Linked DNA regions of Saccharomyces cerevisiae S288C. Changing the gene in region 1 together with any one later gene gives a genetic interaction. Each region holds a gene or a part of one and is shown on either strand. Other genes may lie near its edges.

Region 1 (4,171 bases):
AAGAATCCACTAATAATGCTCTGAAGGGTTTATCAGGCCTCCCCGTTGGTGGTGGTATACGATCAATTATAGCCGGTAGTAACAGTTCCTCTACATTTAATCCTGTTTTAGCACTTACTCCGATTATATCTTCCTCGGGGAGCTCAAAGTTATTCACTATCTGATCCTTTACCTGTTTAACATCTGTAAAATTTAGATCAATTTTGTTTATTACTGGAATTAATTTCAATCCTAAACTGAAGGCTAAATAAAAATTAGCAACCGTCTGTGCTTGTATGCCTTGTGATGCATCAACCAAAAGAATTGCTCCCCCACAAGACGCATATGACCGTGAAACTTCACCTCTGAAGTCCACATGTCCTGGCGTGTCAATTAAATGTAAAAGATAGTTTTTTCCGGTCCTCTTATCTTTATAAAACATCGAACATGTTTGCGCCTTTATAGTAATACCTCTTTCTCTTTCGACTTCCAATTTATCCAAAACTTGTTTATTTCTCGCATTGGGATCGATGACATGCGTTATTTCCAGCAGTCTGTCACTTAAGGTTGACTTCCCATGGTCAACATGGGCAACTATAGAGAAATTTCTGTAATTTTCGAGAGGTATTTGCTCGATCTGTGCTTGTAACTTCTGTGCAGGGGTAGTCGTATGGTTATATCGTAAGAAATATGCGTGTCGTTTATAACACCGTATATGTCTCACTGGCCTAATTCTAAATTTCAGCATTTTTATGTGCAACTAGTTTCCCATATTCATGGCTCTTTTTCAATGGTTGCGGCTACAAATATAGGCGAGTTATACTTGCCCTCGTCTATTATTCAACTTTTTTATTTACATCAAAATAGCAACATAAACATACGGAGATGATGAGAGAAAAAAGAAGACAAAAGGTGTGTCTTAATTCAGTTAAATGAAATTAAAATTGATAGTAAATGGTTGTGAAGCACCTGATGATTATAAATTGCTAAGAACTACTATCAATACAGTTGCTTCGCTACGAAAGACGGCTATCTTAAGATTTAATAGTGAAAGATTGACAATAATATCCACTCCAAAATCATCACTCAACAGCAGTAACAACGGTACAATATTACGAGGGGATACTGGTCAGCTTTGGTGTACCATTCCTCATGATGTATTCAGATTATATACAGTTATATCAGCTCGCGAGCTCAATACAATAACAATGGAGTGTAATTGTGATTCTTTATTGAGTGTGTTTAAAAGGTATGATCGAGTAATGAACCAAGGATCTTCCTCTAATATGACTATAAAACTACAGTCAATGCCAGAATGGAATACAAATAACGGAACACTTTCAGGAGGAACAGCAGGAGGCGTAGATACAACCTCAAAACCGAACCCCATTTGTGCTCTAGGTATAACATTCGAAGAAATTGTACATACTAGCGGCCCAAATGACGCTATAGTTATGAATGGGGGAGTGGATGAGCACAATGGTTTACCAACCACAGTAGGCACAGGAAATCTACTCGCAAGCAATAAGGTTATCATGCATTCGTTCAAAGTACCTGTCAAACTATTATTCCGAGCACAAGATACGCGAATACAAGAGCCAATGATTAACTATATTCAACTGATGATGTACAAGCTGCCACCAATATCGGGCGAGTTTGGCTCCGCCTTCCACGGGTTTATTAGACGTGTTGAACGGTACAGTAATGTCAACCACATTCATTTAATGGGAGTCAAAAAAAAGGAGCATGGAAATGAAGGTGATGATGTAGAACTTAAGATAATTGTGAATGAATTAGATTGGCATTTGGAAATATGCTGGAATGGACCCTTAGACTCTGTGATACAACGCCAAGAAGGGCTCACTGACAATCCTTCCCAAAACCAGCACATCGACACAGACGGCCGGCAGGAGGAAGGATCTCTTCCGATTATCGAAGCGGATAAACCGATGTCTTCACTATATACCAATACTAGAGATCGAGAGATGGAAGAAAATATCCGCTACGATGAAGATTTATTAAGAATTGAGGATAGCTCGATCGCAGATACGCGGGGAAACATTTACACAGCTGATACTAGCGGTGATACTGAATTTAATGACATATCCGTTATGGTGGAAAAGGCTGAACAGGAAAGTTCGTCCACACATGAAGTAATCATCCGTTGCAAAGATTGGAAGGTGTGTTCCAAGTTATACGCTGCATTTGAAGAAGTTGTTTTGGCGATTTCTCACGACGAATCCTGCGTATTCCACTGTTCGTTGGATCGTGGTAGCTTGGAAGATAGCGAAGATGTGGAAAAACCAAGGGAAAGAGGACAAATCATATATTATATAGCAAGATCGAAGGGCTTGTAAACCCTACAGCGGTACATTTCTTTGCTACGTTGCTAAGGAAACTCTTTAAATCTGACATGGCTGAGAACTGCAGAGTTGCAGAGTTGCAGACTATCACATCCGTACATATGTATAAAAAAATCCGTGCTTTACATACTAACTGCTTTTCTTTTTTCCGTTCGAAAAAAAAAAATGTCGTGAGGTTGTCGGAAACCTCAGAAAAAATAGATAGAACAAAACAGCCTTACGAACGGTATGTTGCATTTTAAAGGCTACATGAACTGCACATTAAATTTGCCACTGTAATAATCTTCCATATCCCCATACAAAAACTACGCAAATATGGTACGTAATGCCTCATTAGGATTTTAAAATATGAAAAAAATGGACGTTTCAGCGAGGAATGAATAACAAGAAATAGCTAATTTGAATATATTACTGGTGTTTCATATCTATATATACCGCAGAAAAAGAAATAAAACGCAATATATCTTTAAACTGGCTCCACCCTGAGAATATGATAGGAAACTTTTTAAATTTGAGTTCTGTTACATCAAAAACGTAATTGCTTGACACAGATTTTTCGAGGGCAACAGCGTGGACTTAACATAATGTCGAGTTTAATAACAACATTTTTTGACGGAGAGTTAAAAAGGCTTTGAGAAAATAGCAGAGTGAAGTTTATTTTTAGCATCCTTGCTGATACGCCAAATAATTCAAAAATTCACTATACTAACATGGTCATTAATTTTTAATATTAATATTATTTATTTAGGCTAAAGTTCATGGTTCTCTAGCTCGTGCTGGTAAAGTCAAGTCTCAAACACCAAAGGTTGAAAAAACCGAAAAGCCAAAGAAGCCTAAGGGTCGTGCTTACAAAAGATTATTGTACACCAGAAGATTCGTTAACGTTACCTTGGTTAACGGTAAGAGAAGAATGAACCCAGGTCCATCCGTCCAATAAGAAAATTAACAGTTGTGGAAAAGGAGCTTAAAAGTAACAAGAAACAAAATAGCAGTCATGCCATCTTTACTTCAAGATAGTTTTTGACTTGTATTTGTATTTCCGTTATGCGTTTTTTACTTTAAATATAAAGCAGTATTGAAATTATGTAAGTAGTGTTAACTATAAATTATTTCTTTAGGACTTTAACTTCGCAAAATTATGCTATTCATATTATCGATTTACTTCTTTGCTGTCTTGGTGTGATGCTTTTATTAATAAGGAGGATCTTGCCGTACCTAGGGTTGGCAAACGTTTTTCTAGTTGTTTTTGAATGGGCGCTTCATAATGTGGCAATGAAAAAAAAAAAACTAGAAAAAAACTGCAATGATCTTGACGATGACATGAAGCCTCCTTTTAACAAAATCCATTGAGGTCAACAAGCATCACCAGAGACGCCTATTATAAACTTTATAAGAGAAATACCAGTTATACAATAATGTCTACTGGAAGCAGTGATAGAAAGGATGACGTCAAATTATTGGAACTGCTGAATTCTATAGATGAACAGTTTTTAGTGCCATACAAAAAGCCGGAAGACTTGCGTAAAATCTCCTCTACTACCAAACTACAAGGTTCCACCCCAACTAAGGAACTAGACAAATTAGCCTCTGTATTGAAGGCACATTGCACAAAAATAGGTATTGTTTGCAAGCCAGGAACTTTTGATAACAATCATAAAGTTGTGATTACCGAAATCCAAAATTTTAGTAGGCCATTATTCTACTTACTAAGTTTATTCCCTTTGTTTTACAATAACAAGGATTGCCCCAAATACTTTACAGACCAACTGGATGAAAGTACGCTACAATTGCTCGATGGCTTGAGAGATTTCATTGCCGAATTACAAGAA
Region 2 (4,330 bases), on another chromosome or scaffold:
GGTATCTCGTATTATTGTTTTTATTCATATCATTTTCGTATTCCTTGAGAATTTCACGCTCGAGATCTTTGTTTTTCATTGATTGCAATCTCGATTTCATACTTTTCAGTCTTTGTTCCATTTCTTCACGTTCTCCCTGGTCTATTTTTGATAGAAATTTTCTTTCTTGTAACAGCTTCTGCAGTTCATCAATTTCTTTTTCTCTATATTCGTCCAAGAACTGGTAACGTTTTCTTATGATAGAACTATCAAGGGCTTTACCGGTGGACTTATCAAATCTGATGTCCTGATAGAGGTTAGACCTTTTATTCCTCGGTATTTCCAGCCCAGGGATATTTCGGACTCGTGGTACCCTTTTCTTGGATGATTGTTCTACTGGAGCGTGTTTGCTCTTCTTTTTTGGTACTTTCTGACCATGATGAGTTTCATCCTCACTATCTTCTTCAAAGAATCCAGCATCCTCGTCTGATTGGTCCTCACTGTCCTCATCTTCATCAAAACTTTCTTCTCTGTATGTAGTTGTGATCGGTTTTTTGTGAACGGGTTTCGTATCTTTGAAATCTTCTTCATCTATTACCGTTTCAGCCTTCTTCAAAGAACCAAAAGACAAGGTTTTCAACTCATCGTCACTTGATTCTTGTTCGTCAATTTCTCGCTTACTTTTGTTCGCCATTATGCTCTCCAATAAGTTTCCGTCATCTTCTTCTACGTCGGAGTTCAAGTCTGGCTTCAGATTTTTAAAGTAATACGACATTTTTAACCTTCTAGTGCTTATTGACCCTCTATACAATTTTTGGATGGCAATTTAATTATACTATTTAGTACTTATTCTTATGCCCCAGTTTTCCGGTAGAAAGGCAAGCTCATCGGTTGAAAATTTTCAAAGCGGGTAATAAACGTGTCTTTCGGTATTTAACCGCTCAGATAAAAGTTATTATTGCAAATAAAAGTAAACGTCCATGCCATCAGTTAGTGGACTATATAGATACATATGTTGTGTTTAATTAGATAATCATTGAATGAGGAAACGTACCACTACAATTCGTCGTGCTTGTTTCCTGAGGAGGAATGGTTCTTTTTAATTGGCTTCTTGCCAGTTTTTAAGTAAGCAATATATTCAGAACGTCTACTAAAAGGACCCTCATTGGGGGTAATACTAAAAGTGTCCCGCAGAAATTTGGAAATGTCATTTTTGTTGATTGAGTTCCCTTCATACTCCCAAAATTTATCTTTGTCTGCATCAAAAACGACAAGCTTACTTTTATCGCTCTGTCGCTGTTCAGGAATGACCTTCTGCAAATATTTGAAAATCTCAGGAGTTTTTTCATATGTTGGGTTCATATCGGTTAGTTGCTTGAGTTTTTTGTTTGAAATTGAATAAAAATCGAACTTTCCTAACCAATCAAGGGCAATGCTTTTATAAACCGGTGAAATTTTGTCTTGTTTGGAAAACAACACCACGGAAAGTTTGGGTGACTTTCTAAGTAAAGAGCCAAGTGTATCTATACGGACAAACTTTTTGACATATGACCTTATTCTTGAAAGAGAAAAATCAACAATAGGCGCGAGAGTTCTTGCACCTGAGTACACTTCATTGGCATGAGCGCTGAAACTTTTTTTGGCGTTATCTATTGGCTTAGATAGGTCAATTTTTGGGGGCCTAAATACCATTAACGTGGGAAATCCGTTTACGTCGTATTTAGCACACAAAGCCTTATTCTTGTTAAGGTCACAGTTTACAGCAGCAACTTGGACTACACCATCCAATCTTTTTGCTGCCTTGCGGAACGTACTAGAGAGCTTCTTACAATGGCCGCACCACGGAGCATAAAATTCCACTAATGATGTGTAATTTGTGTTATGGATCGCTTTATCGAAGCTTTTTGGCGTTAACTCTGATATATGAGGATCGGAATCGTAAAAGTTTTGCGCCTTTACTTCATTCATAATAAAAAGTCCCAAAAGGAGCTTAATAATATTAAGAAATAACATTATATGTCAAATTTTGTCTCTCCTAATTGTGTTAAGTGGATGCTTACTGTTGAAAATGACTGCGAAAAGATATTTCTCTTCATGTTATTTAACTTTTACGTGTCAATTTTAATTTTTACCAAATTTTTATACGCCTCGCAAGGCTCGAACAACGGCCCTTTTTTCAAGGGATAAGCACATGACACTGGGCGACAAAGGAGGAATATAAAGAGAAATTTGCGTCAATTTGTATCCAGATAAGATCCTTTGAAAAGATGGTTTTTGGCTTGTGCGATAGTAATGGCTTTAAGGCTATTTCGAAAATCCAGTTTTTTTGCAAAGATATCAATGGAAGGCCCTAAAGGTTCATCGCCATTTGCGTTTTACGCATTTTATCAACTTTATTCGCACTTGAATCCGGGGAAATCGAGCAGCCTTTCTTTAGAAGATATTAGAAGAAGGCTATACCCCGACTTTAAAATAGATTACAATGAGAAAACTTCGTTGTTCATAACTTGGAAGAAAAAGTCCAATAAACATCACACAATAGACACTAACGAAGAGAATTATATACTTAGAGGATGTATCGGTACATTTGCTAAGATGCCGATTGCACATGGTATTGAGAAATATTCCTTGATTGCTGCTTTAGAGGATAGGAGATTTTCTCCGATCCAGAAAAGGGAATTGGTGGACCTGAAATGCAGTTGCAACATCTTAGGCAACTTCAAAACTATTTTTCGAGGTGGTGGTAATCCAAATGGGGACATTTTCGATTGGGAACTCGGAAAGCACGGTATTGAACTGTATTTTAAGCATCCCAAAACAGGCACCACATGTAGCGCAACCTTTTTACCTGATGTTATGCCTGAGCAACATTGGAATAAAGAAGATACCTTTGCCAATTTAATCGAGAAGGCGGGTTACTGGGGCAATATTAGTGAAGTAATGGATAATTTTGAAACTTATTTCATTGAAGTAATAAGGTACGAGGGCAAAAAAAGTTCCATAACTTATGAGGAATTTAACAAACAGTTAAAAGATATAGAGGCTTAGAAAATAACCCTCGTTAGTTAGTCTTAGAAACATTAAAAAAAATATGCTTTTATACATTGATCAAGCTTAAAAATTGGACGCAACCGGAATCGAACCGATGACCTCTTCCTTGCAAGGGAAGCGCGCTACCAACTGCGCCATGTGCCCTGATGACTGTTGAAACTGTTGTATCTCAAAATGAGATATGTCAGTATGACAATACGTCATCCTGAACGTTCATAAAACACATATGAAACAACCTTATAACAAAGCGAACAACATGAGACAAAACCCGTCCTTCCTTAGCTGAACTACCCAAAAGTATAAATGCCTGAACAATTAGTTTAGATCCGAGATTCCGCGCTTCCACCACTTAGTATGATTCATATTTTATATAATATATAAGATAAGTAACATTCCGTGAATTAATCTGATAAACTGTTTTGACAACTGGTTACTTCCCTAAGACTGTTATATTAGGATTGTCAAGACACTCCGGTATTACTCGAGCCCGTAATACAACAGAAACTCATTTCTAATGAGTGGTAAATACATTTGTGGGAAATATCTTTAAGGCCATCTCGGACCTGTATATAATCTCCGAGTATTTCCATTAAAGATGAATCAAATACATGAAATATCTATTAAAGACATATACTCAAGGAAAAGAAGTAGTAGATATATCTTCTTTATATATATTGCCCTGTGTTGCTAGCAGGGTGTTGGAACAAATAATTTGTTCCGTATTGGAAAATTTATAATTAGGTCCAAGAACAAGTTCACTATGATGACGACATATTACTTTGTTCAAAGAGATGGTTTAAAATAAATATGTATAGCAGAATTATAAGAGGCGAAATCGATCAATTAGTTGAACAATTAACTTAAAATCTAATATATATAAATATATATATATATATATATAGGAAATATACGGCACGTTATACTAGAGATATTAAACATCCCAACTCGGTTAATGGGTACAATAAAAAAAAGAGGGATTAATGTTTGTCTACGTATAAACGAATAAGTACTTATATTGCTTTAGGAAGGTACTATACACTCGCTTCTGTCATGCTCGAGTCCGCTTCATCTGTGAAAGATTCAGCCACGCTTGAAGTAACAACAGGAGGCAAGACGAGGGGTCTGGTGCCATACTGTTCATCAAATTCAGTAAAGTCGAGTTGTGAGTTATCGCCCATTATCTCACAGTATTTCTTCGTAACCACTTTTTCCAGTTCTAAAGAGTCTTCGTATACTACTGAACCCTCAGTATTGTATATCCTAGCATTGGAAAATATCAGATGAAAGTCTTGAAGGGTCT
Region 3 (4,749 bases), on another chromosome or scaffold:
CCACGTCACAAGTGGGTGCTATTGCTGATATCGGCTGGCCTGATATGTTCAATAGCGGTGTCATGATGCTAATACCGGATGCTGATACTGCATCCGTTTTACAAAATTATATTTTTGAAAACACTTCAATTGATGGTTCTGACCAGGGCATTTTAAACCAGTTCTTCAATCAAAATTGTTGCACTGATGAGCTAGTTAAAGACAGTTTCTCTCGAGAATGGGTACAGTTATCATTTACGTATAACGTAACTATTCCTAATTTAGGCTACCAATCTTCACCTGCTATGAATTACTTTAAACCTAGCATTAAGTTGATTCATTTCATTGGGAAACACAAGCCATGGTCATTGTGGTCCCAAAAGAATTTCATTAAAAACGAGTATCATGATCAATGGAATGAGGTATACGAGGAATTTAAGGAAGAACATCAATTAAATAACGAAGTTTCGAAGCCAAAGATTAGTGATTCCGATAAAACTGAGACTCCTGAAACGATAACCCCAGTGGATGCCCCTCCATCGAACGAACCCACTACGAATCAAGAGATCGACACAATTAGTACAGTGGAAGAAAACGTGGACAACCAGAACGCCGAGCCTGTTCCTAACTCGGATCATAGCCCTGCTCCTAACCCTGTCCCATTGGATTTTACCAAGTGGTTAACAACCTTTATTAACAAAGATCACTTGACTAATCAGCCAGTAAATGAAAGCAGAGAATATTCGAAAGAGAATGATAACAATATAATCAATAGCAGTTCAAACCGCGACCAAGAAAGTCCTCCAAATAGTACTCAGGAACTAAACAGCTCTTATAGCGTTGTGAGTACTCAAGCTGATAGCGATGAGCACCAAAATGCAGAAGAGGAGGATAGTACGACAGATAACGCTTCAAATTCTGGAGAAGAAAGCCACCTCGATGATATAAGCACGGCCGCTTCTTCCAATAACAATGTAAGTAATCAACCAGATGGCAAAAATTTTAGCAATTCTAAAGAAAATAATATCAGTGTCGAATCTAGCCCTTCAAATCCAGAACAGAAAAGGTCAACTGACAATATACAAAAACCAAGTGTTTCTACTAATGACTTACCAGACGACGTAGAACCACATACCTCTGTTGATGACAATATACAGTACTTAGAAAAAGACAAGGAAGGTTATGAAGAATTTCTTCCGGACGTGTACGAGTCAAATGCAATCGATAACGAAGAAGAATTTTTTGATGACGATGCAAGAGATGCTACCGAAGGAGAAACGAAGACGAGTGCAGTTGCAGATAAACAGGAGGATATGAAACTTACAGCAGAGGAAACCAACCAACCGCAACAAGAAATGCCCAACTTCAAATTTGACTGGGAGGACTCTGATTATCTATCCAAAGTAGAGAGGTGTTTCCCTGATGATATTTTTGAGTATGCAGTAGAGTAAACTTCCACGCACATATTAGGAAAATTAAAAGACATATCTATGTAAAGACCTTTTCGACTATACAAAAATGCATAACTATTCTATATACATTCAAACTCGAAATTTACTTTAAAGGTTTATCAGCAACAACATCCGATGCTTGCTGTTTATCTTTTCTCACCTCACAACGTTTATAGTGACTGAAAAATTTTTGCATTCTCACCTCGTCTATTGAATGATGTGCTAAGAACTTGAGCTAACATCACAGAACAAAGGTATGAATATACGCAGCCCTGACATTTGTAGATTTTTTATTTGGTCTCTAGTCTTTTCTTTTCTTATTTTATAACAAATTCGTTAAACGGCCTCCTTCTAATTATATACAAGATGTCTGAAGGTATTACTGATATTGAAGAATCCCAAATTCAAACCAACTATGACAAGGTTGTCTACAAGTTCGATGATATGGAATTGGACGAAAACTTGTTAAGAGGTGTTTTCGGTTACGGTTTCGAAGAACCATCTGCCATTCAACAACGTGCCATCATGCCTATTATTGAAGGTCACGATGTCTTGGCTCAAGCTCAATCTGGTACTGGTAAGACCGGTACCTTTTCCATTGCTGCTTTGCAAAGAATTGACACCTCTGTCAAGGCTCCTCAAGCTTTGATGTTGGCTCCAACTAGAGAATTGGCTTTGCAAATCCAAAAGGTTGTCATGGCTTTGGCTTTCCACATGGACATCAAGGTCCACGCTTGTATCGGTGGTACTTCCTTTGTTGAAGACGCTGAAGGTTTGAGAGATGCTCAAATCGTCGTTGGTACTCCAGGTCGTGTTTTTGACAACATCCAAAGACGTAGATTCAGAACTGACAAGATCAAGATGTTCATCTTAGATGAAGCTGATGAAATGTTGTCTTCTGGTTTCAAGGAACAAATCTACCAAATTTTCACCTTACTTCCACCAACCACTCAAGTTGTTCTATTGTCCGCCACCATGCCAAATGACGTCTTGGAAGTTACCACCAAATTTATGAGAAACCCAGTTAGAATTTTGGTTAAGAAGGATGAATTGACTTTGGAAGGTATCAAACAATTCTACGTTAATGTTGAAGAAGAAGAATACAAATACGAGTGTTTGACCGATTTATACGACTCTATCTCCGTTACTCAAGCTGTCATCTTCTGTAACACCAGAAGAAAGGTCGAAGAATTGACCACTAAGTTAAGAAACGACAAATTTACCGTTTCTGCCATCTACTCTGATTTACCACAACAAGAAAGAGACACCATCATGAAGGAATTCAGAAGTGGTTCTTCCAGAATTTTGATCTCCACTGATTTGTTGGCTAGAGGTATCGATGTCCAACAAGTTTCTTTGGTTATTAACTACGACTTACCAGCTAACAAAGAAAACTATATTCACAGAATCGGTAGAGGTGGTCGTTTCGGTAGAAAGGGTGTTGCCATCAACTTTGTTACTAACGAAGACGTTGGCGCTATGAGAGAACTAGAAAAGTTCTACTCCACTCAAATTGAAGAATTGCCATCCGACATCGCTACTTTGTTGAACTAAGGGAGACAAAAACTTCTTAAAAAAGTATCTTGTGAGGCTATCTTGATAACGTAACATATATTTCTAAAAAGTTATATATGCTTTTTGTATTTAATTTGTTTTTCTTTTTACATTCCTATTATTCTTCAAAGTCCAAAAGACTCTCGGCACGAAGGTTGAAATACCCTATACTAATTGTTTGCTTTGTCTTTTTGTATATATCCGAACGTATCTATCTGAAATTTTTCAAATTTATAAAAAATAATATATATAAAAGGAAAAAAAAAAAAATCGATGCCCTACTAATAGAGATTGGAGCTGAAAAGAAAAAGTGTACATCAAACGCTATATCTCGAGGTTTGGGATGGTTGAGTCAAATGATATTATAAAAAGTGGGCTGGCAGAGAAAGCACTAAAGGCTCTAATTTTACAATGTGAAGAGAACCCATCTTTAAAAAATGATAAGGACATACACATAATCATCAACACGGGCAAAAAAATGGGCATAAACAGGGACAACATCCCCCGTATTATTCCATTAACAAAGTACAAGCTATTTAAACCAAGGGACCTAAACATATTACTCATTACCAAGGATCCCTCTGCCTTGTATAGAGAAACTTTGACGAAAGACGAGCATACGTCGGAATTATTCAAGGAAATTATAAGTGTCAAGAACTTGAGACGTAGATTCAAAGGGAGTAAACTGACCCAACTTTATAAAGATTTTGACTTGGTCGTTGCCGATTACAGAGTTCACCACTTACTTCCGGAGGTTCTTGGTAGCAGATTTTATCACGGTAGTAAAAAATTGCCATACATGATCCGCATGTCGAAAGAAGTAAAATTGAAGCGTCAACAAATGGTCGAAAAATGTGACCCCATTTACGTGAGAGCACAATTGAGAAGTATATGTAAGAATACCTCATACATTCCCAATAATGACAACTGCTTAAGCGTCAGGGTCGGTTATATTCAAAAACACTCCATACCAGAAATTTTGCAAAACATCCAAGATACAATAAACTTTCTCACTGATAAAAGTAAGAGACCGCAAGGCGGCGTCATTAAAGGAGGAATAATATCTATATTTGTCAAGACCAGTAACAGTACTAGTTTGCCTATATATCAGTTTTCAGAGGCTAGAGAAAATCAGAAAAATGAAGATCTGAGTGATATTAAATTGTAAAATTAAAGCATCATCTTTTAAATACGGTATTTAAACACTCCCAATGAAAAAGCGTGATTTTGTCTAACTAATTATAGCATTAATAAAGTGTTTTAAACTTTAATTCCTTTCAAGAATTTGCAAGATTATAGAAATTTAGTAAGCGAAAAAAAAAAAGAAAAAAAAAAGAACAGACACCCTATAAAAATAGAATAAACATAATAAGCCACCATTTGCCTGTCTGATGATATTCTTGATTCTTTATATCTCTTCAGGTATGTGACACCTATACATGCAACGCTTTTTTTGCGTTTTTTCTATACAATAGTTGTTTATTTAAAAGCGTAGGAGCTTCATGCAAATCTGCAAGGTATTTCTTACACAGGTTAAAAAACTACTTTTTGTTAGTCTTCTATTTTGCTTGATAGCTCAAACATGTTGGCTTGCACTTGTACCATATCAGAGACAGCTGAGCCTAGATTCGTATTTTTTTAGAAGATCTCGAGAAGTTTCATCGAGATATGATTTTACAAGGAGGCGACATATGAATCAGACGCTGAAGCTATCTAGCAACACTTATAATGATGAACCACTAAACAAGACCAAGGGAATAAAAAA
Region 4 (5,976 bases), on another chromosome or scaffold:
AACTGCAAAAGTTGATATCGAACAATCATTATTCACGGTGTGACTTTTTCTGTTTCCGTTGCTTTTCTAGCTACTCTAAGATAAAGGGCACCCAAGATTGACAAATAGTTGTAGATTAAACATAGATTGCAAGCAGTGAAATTCAGAGGATAATCTTTTATCGCTGTCAGTACATACCATATGAAAAATGCTATCCAAGGTATTGCTGAATATAGCTTTCAAGGTGCTGTTAACCACCGCCAAGAGAGCAGTTGATCCTGACGATGATGATGAACTTCTACCTTCCCCGGATCTCCCGGGTAGCGATGACCCTATTGCAGGTGATCCTGATGTAGACTTAAACCCTGTTACAGAAGAAATGTTCTCTTCATGGGCATTGTTCATTATGTTGCTCCTATTGATCTCTGCATTGTGGTCTAGTTACTATTTAACTCAGAAACGAATTAGGGCAGTGCATGAAACTGTGCTTTCTATTTTTTATGGTATGGTTATTGGCTTGATAATAAGGATGTCCCCCGGGCATTATATTCAAGATACGGTTACTTTTAATTCATCCTACTTTTTTAATGTTCTATTGCCGCCAATTATTTTAAATAGTGGGTACGAGTTGAATCAAGTGAACTTTTTCAATAATATGTTATCTATCTTAATTTTCGCCATACCGGGCACCTTCATATCTGCTGTGGTTATTGGAATCATATTGTATATCTGGACCTTTTTAGGACTAGAGAGTATTGACATTTCATTCGCAGATGCAATGTCTGTTGGTGCTACATTATCTGCTACCGACCCTGTTACAATTCTTTCAATTTTCAATGCGTATAAAGTGGATCCTAAGCTATATACCATCATTTTTGGAGAATCACTGTTAAATGATGCCATCTCTATTGTTATGTTTGAAACCTGTCAAAAATTTCATGGTCAACCTGCAACATTTTCGTCGGTTTTTGAAGGGGCAGGCCTCTTTTTGATGACTTTCTCCGTTTCGTTGTTGATAGGCGTTCTTATAGGAATTCTTGTTGCTCTTCTGTTGAAACACACTCACATAAGGCGCTATCCTCAAATTGAGAGTTGTTTGATCTTGTTGATTGCTTATGAATCCTATTTTTTCTCCAACGGTTGCCATATGTCCGGTATCGTCTCCTTGTTATTTTGCGGAATTACTTTAAAACATTACGCCTATTATAACATGTCAAGAAGATCACAGATCACCATTAAGTATATTTTCCAACTATTGGCAAGATTATCAGAGAATTTCATCTTTATCTATCTAGGTTTAGAACTTTTTACTGAAGTAGAACTAGTCTATAAGCCACTGCTAATTATTGTGGCAGCTATTTCTATATGTGTTGCTCGTTGGTGTGCTGTGTTCCCATTGTCGCAATTTGTTAACTGGATATATAGAGTAAAGACAATCAGATCTATGAGCGGCATAACCGGAGAAAATATTTCTGTTCCCGATGAAATACCCTACAATTACCAAATGATGACATTTTGGGCAGGTTTACGTGGTGCTGTTGGTGTCGCCTTGGCGTTGGGAATTCAAGGTGAGTATAAGTTCACTTTATTGGCAACGGTCCTTGTTGTTGTTGTTTTAACAGTTATCATTTTTGGGGGCACTACTGCAGGAATGTTAGAAGTTTTAAATATTAAGACTGGTTGCATAAGTGAAGAAGATACATCTGATGACGAGTTTGATATAGAGGCTCCAAGGGCGATAAATTTATTGAACGGTAGTTCTATTCAGACAGATTTGGGCCCATATTCTGACAACAATTCTCCAGATATTTCAATTGACCAATTCGCGGTCAGCAGTAACAAGAATCTCCCCAATAACATATCCACAACTGGTGGTAATACTTTTGGAGGCCTTAATGAAACTGAGAATACTAGCCCTAACCCGGCAAGGTCTTCTATGGATAAGCGTAATTTGAGAGATAAACTGGGAACAATCTTTAATTCCGACTCACAATGGTTTCAAAATTTTGATGAACAGGTATTGAAGCCAGTATTCTTGGACAACGTTTCTCCATCCTTACAAGATTCGGCTACGCAATCACCTGCAGATTTCTCTTCCCAAAACCACTAGACTTTAAAGTGTATGGTTTCCTTGTTTCTAATATAAATATATTAATTAAGTCTTTATACATTCTCTCTTACTCAACGCCGAAGGAATACCCTTCTACACTTTATTCATTTTAAATCATGTACTGTTATATACACGCTAGTAGGATTGATCTTATTTAATCATATTTCGCACGTTACCCGACTGCTTTCAGTTTTGCCGCTTTGTGATAATGAGGAATTTCAGCTAGCTTTTAATGAGCCGATACTAAATCACCATGATTTTGGGAGAGGAAAAGAAGAAAAGGTAAAACAACGAATATTTTTCAAATACCTTAGTTACTGAATATCCATAACTACTCGTATAATTGGTGAGAAAATAGTGCATATTTAGTTTACTTTTTGCCTTTGATTGAAAATATATATTCATGGTGCTTTTTACTCGGTGTGAAAAGGCAAGAAAGGAGAAACTCGCCGCTGGTTATAAGCCCTTAGTTGATTATTTGATTGATTGTGATACTCCCACATTTTTAGAAAGAATTGAGGCAATCCAAGAGTGGGACCGATCCAGAGATGATCTTTATGTTTGGATTCCCATTCTAGACAGAATGGACGGGCTGTTGTTAAAAGTGGCAGAGAAATATAAATACAAGCAAGACCCCAAGAAGGAGTGTGAAGTCAAATTGGTGGAAATGGAAGCGCATGATGTTGATTATTGTTTGAAAATGCTAAAGTTTACTCGTCGACTACTTCTAAATACAGAAAACAGGTTTGTTTATTCATCTGGAGATGTTTTAATGTATCTACTGAATTGTCCGAATTTTACAATAAAACTAGCGGTCATGCGAATTTTAGCCATTTTAGGGGAAAGGTTTGTGATTGCGAGAGAAAAAATAGTTGCACATAACATATTTGGAGATCACAACCTCAGGAAAAAAACTCTCAAACTAGCTTTATCTCTGTCATCTTCCGTCATGGATGAAGACGGAGAGCACTTTTCTCTTGTCGATCTATATTTTGATAAGAAAAAAGTGCCTCAAAAATGGAGAAAGTTGAGATTTACACATTATACTTCAAACGACTTTAAAAAGTCAAGCCAGCAAAAAAATAACATTAATGAAACCCAAACTTCCATTAAGAAGGTAACTATGACGACCCAAGAACTGTGTGAACACTCACTACAGCAAATATTTGATAAGGGTATGGCCCTTTTACCCGCAGAAAGTTGGTTTGATTTCTCAATAAAAGCTTCGGTGGCGAAGGCCTTCAGTGATGATTCAGGTGAAAATATAGATTTGAGAAATATAATTATTGAAACAAAACTGAATGCTATTGCATTTGTTAACACCATTTTCTCGCCTCCTCAAGTAAGCTCGAAGTTATTTGAATTAGATCCGTATGCTTTTAATAGTCTAACTGATTTGATATCGTTGTCTGAAACCAAAATACCAAAAGAGCTAAGAACGGATGCTTTATTCACATTGGAATGTATATCCTTGAAGCATGTCTGGTGCTCAGACATTATCAGAAATCTCGGTGGTAACATATCGCATGGTCTGTTGTTTCAGATTCTCCGTTACATTGCCAAGACATTGAGAGAAGCGACAGACGAAATCGATGAAGAATATAATGTGAGGTTCTTTTACTTGATATCAAATTTAGCTGACGTTAAGCCTTTGCATGAATCTCTTTTCGCCGCGGGTTTAATACCTACTTTATTGGAAATTGTATCTATAAGAAATTGCCCATATAAGCGTACCCTCGCATCTGCTACCCATCTCCTAGAAACATTTATAGATAACAGTGAAACTACCACTGAATTTATCGAAAATGATGGGTTTACTATGCTGATCACTTCAGTCGCCAATGAGATTGATTTCACGCTTGCACATCCAGAGACGTGGCAACCGCCAAAATATTCAGTGGTTTATTATTCAATTTCTTTTAGGGAGTTGGCATATATTAGAAGTTTATTGAAACTCGTTCTCAAATTATTAAGCACAGACTCAGGGGATAGAATTAGAAATTTAATAGATTCGCCGATACTTGTTTCATTAAAGAAAATCCTAGAAAATAAACTTGTATTCGGTTTAACATTAATAACTTACACTCTGGATGTAGTTCAGAAAGTAATAAATAGTGAGCCTACTATTTATCCTGTTCTGGTTGAAGCAGGACTTATTCCATATGTTATCGATAATTTTCCAAAGTTAATTGGGCCTTCCGCCGAATTATTAAGTTTACTTCCAGATGTCGTTTCTGCCATATGCTTGAATCCAGAAGGGCTGAAGCAAGTTAAAGAAAAGGGTCTCATAAACAATTTGTTTGATTTCTTACTCGATGCTGACCACGCGCGTATATTAACAGGTGGAGATCGTTCTACGGAATATGGTACTGACATTGATGAATTAGCAAGACATTATCCAGACTTAAAGGCAAATATCGTGGAGGCTTTGTGTAACGTCATCAGAAAAATGCCAAGTACCTTTAGAAATGAAAGAGAGTTTCTTTTTACTTCACCAAAAGATCAAAAGTACTTTTTTCACAGAAAAAATGAGGAAATATTGACAGATAAAGAGGAACATGAACCTGCATACTGGGAGCTATTAGATAAGGGAACTATGCTGGACACATTTACCAGTGTTTTGTTTGGTATGTCTTTAGGAAATGGTTCTTTTTCACAGGTGCCACAACATCTGGAAGCGAGAGATTTTCTGGCAATAATATTTATGGAAAATCCTCCTTATGAATACTTTACCTCCGTGGCAATCTCAAATGTTACTGAGGTCCTCCAGTATCTGGATGAAAAATACGAAGACTACGCATTCATGGATGTTATGAAAGTATTGAACGATCAATTGGAGAACCTGAATGATTTTTTGAATAGTCCAAATGATAGAAGTTTCTTTTTAGAAAGAGATGGGGAAAACTCGGTGCGTTCATGCCATTCAAAACTTTGTCGACTTGCCGCTATTTTGAACATTGTTACGAATGTATACATTGACCTCACTACCTTATCTTGTAAGAGAATCATGCAGATCTATTCTTATTTTGACAAAAGAGGATTTTCTTTAATTAAAAACTTAAAGTTGCTATTCCAGAAATGTGCGTTGGAGGAAATGTACATACGCCAACATATGCCAGATTCTGTTATTACAGAAACAATGCCGTTGCCTATAGTGGATGTTTCCGGAGATGGACCACCACTTCAAATTTATATCGATGACCCAAAAAAGGGTGATCAAAAGGGGAAAATTACCAGCGTAAAAACGAGAAATACTCTTCAAATGCGAACAATACTGTATACATTACAATCAAATACTGCAATTCTATTTCGCTGCTTTTTAAGGTTAAGCCACTCTAGGAATATGGATCTAGAGCATAAAGATTTGACGACAGAAGTTCATATATTTGAGAACGTTGTTGAAAATGTTATTGAAATGTTGAAGGCCACCGAACTCGAAGGTCATCTACCGTATATTCTCGTTTTATTAAACTTCAACACCTTTGTGTTTACTATTCCAAAGGCTTCCCCTAATTCCACTGAAATATTACAAACAATACCGGCTTATATTTTCTATCAAAAGGGGGGCTATTTACTTTATTTGCACATTATAAGGGATCTCTTTACGAGAATGACAAAAATAAAAGATTTATCCTCACTTGATAACATAAACTACATAGATGAGTCCAACGGTATCCTAACCTTAAGCTGTTTAATTAATGCTCTCACCTTTTACAACAAATCAATGCAAACTGAAACCATGGAGAATGTCCAAAGTATTGGTAAGTATTACGTTTCAATAGATGACGATTATAATATTATGAAAGCTTTAACAGTTCCTATTAAGGTAATGGCTCTCGCAATGATTTTAGATTTGGATAAATCGGATAGCCTCTTCAAGACACAGT

Evidence for each region.
Region 2: mutations in RPS30A (region 1) and YOR289W together harm fitness more than expected from each alone (negative genetic interaction), as found in Saccharomyces cerevisiae (2 studies listed by BioGRID).
Region 3: mutations in RPS30A (region 1) and TIF1 together harm fitness more than expected from each alone (negative genetic interaction), as found in Saccharomyces cerevisiae (2 studies listed by BioGRID).
Region 4: mutations in RPS30A (region 1) and TOM1 together harm fitness more than expected from each alone (negative genetic interaction), as found in Saccharomyces cerevisiae (3 studies listed by BioGRID).

The regions. Positions count from the first base shown.
Region 1 is NC_001144.5:711,645-715,815, reverse strand, and holds RPS30A (40S ribosomal protein eS30 RPS30A), read left to right. Parts: upstream 1-2,657; coding exon 2,658-2,660; intron 2,661-3,090; coding exon 3,091-3,279; downstream 3,280-4,171. Other genes in the region: GTPase GUF1, read right to left, coding at 1-727; MEC3 (Mec3p), read left to right, coding at 912-2,336; YLR287C (uncharacterized protein), read left to right, coding at 3,758-4,171.
Region 2 is NC_001147.6:851,086-855,415, forward strand, and holds YOR289W (uncharacterized protein), read left to right. Parts: upstream 1-2,271; coding exon 2,272-3,027; downstream 3,028-4,330. Other genes in the region: rRNA-processing protein RRP36, read right to left, coding at 1-754; protein disulfide isomerase MPD1, read right to left, coding at 1,036-1,992; SWI/SNF catalytic subunit SNF2, read right to left, coding at 4,062-4,330.
Region 3 is NC_001143.9:553,191-557,939, forward strand, and holds TIF1 (translation initiation factor eIF4A), read left to right. Parts: upstream 1-1,796; coding exon 1,797-2,984; downstream 2,985-4,749. Other genes in the region: glycogenin glucosyltransferase GLG1, read left to right, coding at 1-1,430; UTP30 (Utp30p), read left to right, coding at 3,328-4,152; mannosyltransferase KTR2, read left to right, coding at 4,487-4,749.
Region 4 is NC_001136.10:1,367,298-1,373,273, forward strand, and holds the start of TOM1 (E3 ubiquitin-protein ligase TOM1), read left to right. Parts: upstream 1-2,492; coding exon 2,493-5,976. Other genes in the region: bifunctional K:H/Na:H antiporter NHX1, read left to right, coding at 188-2,089. UniProt on the Saccharomyces cerevisiae protein: Probable ubiquitin ligase protein involved in many cellular processes, such as transcription regulation, maintenance of nuclear structure, cell cycle, mRNA export and rRNA maturation.